Linked DNA regions of Kluyveromyces lactis. The protein of the gene in region 2 interacts with the protein of the main gene of each other region in a pairwise test. Links are inferred from orthologs where the notes say so. Each region holds a gene or a part of one and is shown on either strand. Other genes may lie near its edges.

What was found.
Region 1: the proteins of GCD1 (region 2) and SUI3 interact in binary tests that used the Saccharomyces cerevisiae proteins (3 or more experiments, as listed by UniProt). The link is inferred for Kluyveromyces lactis from reciprocal best matches to the Saccharomyces cerevisiae genes GCD1 and SUI3.

What each region holds. Positions count from the first base shown.
Region 1 is NC_006040.1:750,307-753,447, reverse strand, and holds SUI3 (translation initiation factor eIF2 subunit beta), read right to left. Parts: upstream 1,506-3,141; coding exon 669-1,505; downstream 1-668. Other genes in the region: ADD37 (Add37p), read left to right, coding at 1-252; YAR1 (Yar1p), read right to left, coding at 2,000-2,620; RTP1 (Rtp1p), read left to right, coding at 2,897-3,141. UniProt on the Saccharomyces cerevisiae protein: Component of the eIF2 complex that functions in the early steps of protein synthesis by forming a ternary complex with GTP and initiator tRNA.
Region 2 is NC_006039.1:830,407-834,062, forward strand, and holds GCD1 (translation initiation factor eIF2B subunit gamma), read right to left. Parts: upstream 2,216-3,656; coding exon 731-2,215; downstream 1-730. Other genes in the region: COX10 (protoheme IX farnesyltransferase), read left to right, coding at 1-478; proteasome regulatory particle base subunit RPT4, read left to right, coding at 2,655-3,656. UniProt on the Saccharomyces cerevisiae protein: Acts as a component of the translation initiation factor 2B (eIF2B) complex, which catalyzes the exchange of GDP for GTP on the eukaryotic initiation factor 2 (eIF2) complex gamma subunit.

The DNA.
Region 1 (3,141 bases), on a different chromosome or scaffold from region 2:
TATCAATGGATCACATCGTTACCGAGTAACTTACAAGATAAGGAATTTTCCTTTTATAAAACTAAGGTGGATAAGGTTCTAGAAAATGTATTGGAAAACGAGGGCACAAGATATGCGTTGAGTGAAATATTCGCCAACTTGAACGATTCAAAACGGGTTACAGATTTAATTACAAAATGGATGCTGTCGGATATGTCGGTGAATTCGTGGTGTCCTTCTTTCCGTAAATTGATCGAAAATGCACAGATATGATATTTTAACTGGGGGAAGGGTTTCAGATTATAGAGCTTAAATTTAAATTGATCTTTTAGAGCATTGATCTCGTCGTTTTGTTTATAACAACTAAATTACAGATTAGATAAAAACCATTAGATAACATACACAAACAGAAAAAAAATTAATAATGAACGTGAAAGAAGGATGAAGATACCTTCTATTCTCATTTCTTTTCAAGTATTTGGTGTTATTCATATGTTATGTGTGAATTGCACGATGCGATGCTCCCTGGAGAAAATATTCAACCATGAATATATTAGCTATGCCTTATGAGGTTTATTTGATTCCTTTCGAACTGTATCGTATTGAACATTAGAAGATTGTCGAAGTTTTTTCTGATTTTTCGGTAGATGTTAATGATACTACTATTTTGATACGTCATATCAATTAATCTACATTCTCTTTCTCTTACCGACGGTGGCTTGGAAACCGGTCTTGATGGAGGAAACGGATCTAGTAGAACCGCAACTCTTACAAACCAAGAAGAACAATCTGTTCGATTGTTCCTTCTTCAATACGGTATTGATACTCTTACAAGTCTTACAGGTGACATATTCCAGAATATACCTTCTTAATAGATTTTCCATTTGCTTTGGCAAGAACTTACCCTTGATGACCAATCTCTTTTGACCGTCAACAGAACCTGAGGTACCCAATTCCGCAAATAGATACTGGATTACATGTTCTGGGGATCTTTGTAATTTTTCACTAATTTCTTGGATGTTCGCAAATATAGTCTTCTTACCATCTCTTTGACAGATTGGTGGAGGGATCTTGAACTTTGGACCTGATCTATCACCGGCCAATTCAGGATTATTTGTGTTCAAAATCTTAAAGAAACGAGACAATAGGTCTTGGTATGGTAGGCCAACATCTTGTTGAATGCTAGAATCGATTTCAGTTGGAGTGGCCTCCTTGGCAATATCATCGACTGAAATACCTGCTTGTTCTAATTGCTTCTCAAAGTCATCCACACTGCTCTCGGCAGCAGCAGCCTTCTTCTTCTTTTTCTTCAACTTCAATTCGCCTAGAGCATCTGAAATGTCGTCCACTTGCTTCTCAGTGGTTTCTTCACCTTCCTTGCTCTTCTTCTTCTTCTTCTTCAAACCAGCAAAAAGATCATCTGTTCCCTCGGTGGAAGCAGCAATCAGTTCTTCCGGAACTACCTTCTTGCTCTTCTTCTTCTTCATCGTTGGATCGAATCCTAAGTCGGCCGCAACATCAGTCATCGTTGAGTATCTTTGTATCTTCTCGCTTCTTGCTAATCTCCTTAGTAATAACGGAAAGGGCCTTGAACTTTACACGAACTAGACTCTTGCCAACAGATTTCCACAGAAGTTGTCTTACCCTTGTGCAAATATGAGCTGAAGAATCCAATAGGATATTGAATAGCGATGACAATTGCGATCCAGTCGTTTCAATTCTCTTGGTTTTCCGAAAACTCACTATTTTCAAAATTTTCCCAGGCCACGCGATAGTGTTGTCATTGTGCACGTTCAGTGTTCGGGTAACACACGTGACTTATCTATTCTTTGGCCTTTGAGTCTGGTTAGATAAAACTCCGCTTGTTGGGCGCATGAGGTAGGTGTACCTATGTTTATTGATGATTAGTATACAGTTATGTACATGGACATTTGGTTCATATTTTATGCTCAAATTGGCCACAATACAGCTTTCCAGCCGAATGATTTTTTTTTGACCACGGTTCATTTTCAGAGGAAACTTATTCTAGTTGAAGCTTTTCAGTTTGCTCTCTTAGAGCTTCTGTAGCTTCTTTGGTCACTTGTTCAATCTCTGTACCTTCTCTAAATTGGACGTTGTCGATAGATGCGGGCTGTGAGGCTTGTTCTCCTTCCTTTTCCGATGAAGTTTCTTCCTCATTTTCGGTCGATTCGGGTTCCACGTCGAACTTCTTCAAGTAATATGTTTCTATCTCTTCTTGTCCGTTGTTTTCAGCTTCGTAGATGGCATCATGGTCGAAATTATTCCTGATGAATGGATCAGCCTCATACTCTTCACAAAGAAGCTGTACTATATCCAATTTACCATTCAACGAAGCCCAGTGCAATGCAGTGTTACCTGTTTCGTTTTGCTTGTTGACCCATTCCTTTAGTTTATCCTTTGGGAAAATGCTTAGTAGATATTTTACCACCTCGAAATGACCGTTGGCGGCTGCCATATGCAAGGCAGATGACTTAGACAATTCATCTGTACATTCAATGAGTGCACTTGGATCTATCAAAGTGGTAAAAATATCCTTAAGAGACTCCAAATCTCCAGCTCTTGCATCAACGATGATAGCTTCTTGATCTTCTTGATCTAAAGGTCCTGTATGTAGACTCATCTTACAATAATTTCGTTCTGTATTTTGGGCTTGATTGCGTAGTTTTCCTGTTCTCTGTTCATATCTTAGCTCATCTCATCTCATAATCCAAATTCTGTGAACTTTTCAATTTTTCATGTTAAAAGGTTACTTTTTCTTTTTCTCCGAAATAGATGTGCTAAAGGCTTTAAATATAATTCAGGACATCTCTGAGCACCTCTCTTTAGAACAACATGATCACGCCTACATCGGGAGAGTGTCAGCTGCGCCTTCAAGACCTGACATCGGTTTCACAAAATGTCAAATAAATTGACAGAAGTATTATCTAGGAAGCTTGATTTCGTAAGCGATACTCCAATTGATGCATTCTTTCAAGAGTTAGATGAATTCCTTAAACCTATAAAACATAATGACGATATTGGTGATATCTACGAATCATTAAACTTAAGCAACAAGGAACTTATAGAAAAATTAGCGAAGTTCTTGACTAGATTATGTAGTCTAGTCGCAGAAAAACAACAAGAAAATGCGGACATAATACC
Region 2 (3,656 bases):
TGGTGCATGGTGTCTTGCTGGGTTGTTATACGCATGGCAATTCCCACATTTCAATACGTTAAGTCACAACATCAGGAATGAGTACAAGAACGCGGGATACGTCATGACTGCATGGAAGAATCCAAAGCTTAATGCTCGTGTAGCTCTGCGATACTCACTTCTGATGTTCCCATTATGTTTTGGTCTTTCATACTTCAATGTCACCGACTGGTATTATCAATTGGATTCAGCATTTGTTAATGCTTGGATGTCACTATGGGCATTCAAGTTTTATTTCCAGCAAAAGCGTAATTACTCCAAGGAGATATACAATAACAAGACAGAATTCAACAAAGGGTTGGCAATGGCCAACGTTTATGCGAGGAGAACATTCTGGGTCAGTGTACTACATTTGCCGGCAGTATTGATTTTAGCAATTTTGCATAAAAAGGACCGTTGGGACTGGCTCTTTGAAGATAAGAAACAACTCTCAGCATAATTTCACACATTCATTCAACATCAGGAAAATCTTACTTGTGAATAGTAATTTATTATTATGTATTTAATTCAGAACGAAAATCATCAATTATTTTGTAAACATAAACTGTAAATATTCAGAAATCCGTTCAAGAAGTTTACACAAGCTCAGAAGATTAGTTATCAGATTTCTATAATTATTAAGGTACACATGGTACGGCTATTTGATCATGATATATGCAAAAATACTCTATTTATAATAATTTACCGAAGTTCAACGGTCGAAGAGTCCATCATCAACATAATCCTCATCGTCATAATATTCATCAGTGTAATCAGACTCGGATCCAGATGAATCTGAATCCAGTAAAGAGGATGCGTAATCTTCGTCATCTATGTAAATACTTGTCAAAGTTTCACCCTTGAGAGTGGATTTTTCATTGACAATATAAGAGCCCTCAACATAACAATTTGTAAGCTTTGATTTCTTGCCGATTTTTGCATTTCTACCGATGATGACATTTTCTAGCTGGGTTTCATCATCAATTTCAACATTATCAAGCACAACACACCCAACGATACGGCATCGCTTTCCTACTTTACAATTGTCACCGAGGACCGAACGTTTAATATTGGTTTTCTCCAAAATTGCACAATTGTTACCAACCATAGAATCTGCACCGATAGCAGAAGAACCATCAGTAGTGCGTTGTTGAATCGCCGTTTGTTTAATCTTCAAAACGTACCTATTGGATTCCATGTATGCACTCAAACTGTTTGATCTGATAAATAATCCGATTTCAGGTAACACGAAGATACCTATAGTTTCTCTGGGTTTCACATGCTGCCACGAACGCCTAGACAAATCCCTGAATAGCTTGCCTAGCGATTTATTACAGTTTATTGGATCTTTGATTAATTTCTTCTTTCCCTTCAAGAAAGACGTGTTCTGGAATGATGTGGCCAAAGAATCAACGGCTTCCGAATCAGAGTCTAATTCTCCAGCACCTTTCTCGGTTTCATCCTTCAATAGGTTTACTAACTCATGAGAGCAAAAGTAAATGAAGGAGTTCAGTAATTTTGTGGATACAGAGGAGTTCGGATATCTCCAAAGCATTTGGGATCTGATTTGTAAATATTTCGTTTTGTCCACATCGTCTTTGGAATAAACGTCTAGAAGAACGGGCTTACTAACAGACTCCAAATTCTCGGAGTATACAGTCAGGAATTGCTTTAAATGCTTCTTATCGATATTCTCAAACCCATTGTGATAATATACTGCCATAGCTAGATTCTCCGGATCTTTATTCAAATACTGATCTAAAAACACCTGTGGTGGAATGTCTGTGATGAAATCACAAGGTAACAACACGAAATCTCCAGTTATCTTATCTAGCAATTCATTCTTCAGACATTCTCCTGTATTCTCACATTTTGAGGGTATAATATTAATAGGAGATGGTTTTTTCAAATAGTGAGCATGGTTCGATCCAACGCTTTGGGATAACAGTCCAAAATAATGCCCTCTCACTTCACGGTATTTTTTCAAACTTTCCTCTAATTCGTCAGCATCGGATGCGTCAATAACTAGATTGACCTCTTTAAATTGGGCTTGCTCACACCAATCTAGTACGAACTCAATCATGGAGCGGTTTGCAACCGGCAATAGAGCTTTGGGAACACCAGTGTCTCCACGAACATTGGAAAACGGTGTTAGCTTCGCACCACGTCCACAGAATATAAAAGCTTGAAAATCCATTGTTCTGTACTATTCTGGGAATATTAAACTGTCTTATCTGGAGATCAACGCATCAATAAAACGTAGAACCCACTATATATCTTCAAACTGTACCGTGGCAGGTCATCATCCTACGTGATGCTTAGGTTAGTCAATACTCCATCTTATATTGAAAAGCTTTATTCCTGAAAATTTCAAAATCGTGCGTAATGATCTCCCTTTCTATTTAGTAGATTCCGAATGCTTTTGCCACCATTCAATCTAGTAACCCATAGTCCAAATGAAGAGAATAGGTAAGAAAGGCCAAATCCAACCAATTGAGTTGAGTCAATCCATTATAACAGTACTAGTCCAACCAGGAAGGAATACTGACAGAATAAAGGTACGGGATTTTTCTCCTTTCATATTGAGAAGCAGGAATAGGAAGATTAAGCTAGTCTGATCAGAATAAATACTAAAGATGTCTCAAGAACAGGATCCTTTACTAGCAGCAATGGAAGAAAACGATGGTGATGACACTAACGGAGCTGGTACCAACTCTAATTCGGGAGAAAATAACGCTGCCGCACCTGAAACGGTGGAGCCTGTGGATCCAGAACAGGCTGCAAAGGAAAAAGCGATGTTACATTTTAAGAAAAGACTTATGGAACACAGACGATACGACGATATGTTGAAGCAACGCAGAGAAACCATACGGGTACTAGAAGCAGAATATGAGAGAACAGAACAGGATATCAAGGCGTTACAGTCGATTGGCCAACTCATTGGGGAAGTTATGAAGGAACTTTCCGAGGAAAAATACATTGTAAAAGCGTCATCAGGTCCTCGTTATATTGTGGGTGTGAGGAACTCCGTTGATCGTTCCAAGCTAAAGAAGGGTGTCAGAGTCACACTTGATATTACTACATTAACTATTATGAGAATTTTACCTAGAGAAACTGACCCATTAGTTTATAATATGACCACTTTTGAACAAGGTGAAATCTCTTTTGATGGTATCGGTGGTCTTACGGAACAGATCAGAGAATTGAGAGAAGTCATTGAGCTTCCACTAAAGAACCCAGAAATTTTCGAGAGAGTGGGAATCAAACCACCTAAGGGTGTGTTACTATATGGTCCTCCTGGTACTGGTAAGACTTTATTGGCTAAGGCAGTTGCTGCAACTATCGGTGCCAACTTTATCTTCTCCCCAGCATCCGGTATTGTAGATAAATACATCGGTGAATCAGCACGTATCATTAGAGAAATGTTTGCATACGCCAAAGAACATGAACCTTGTATCATCTTTATGGACGAAATAGATGCTATCGGTGGACGTAGATTTAGCGAAGGTACCTCAGCAGATCGTGAAATTCAACGTACATTGATGGAACTATTAACTCAGATGGATGGTTTCGACAACTTAGGACAAACGAAAGTTATTATGGCTACGAATAGACCTGACACTTTAGATCCTGCTTTA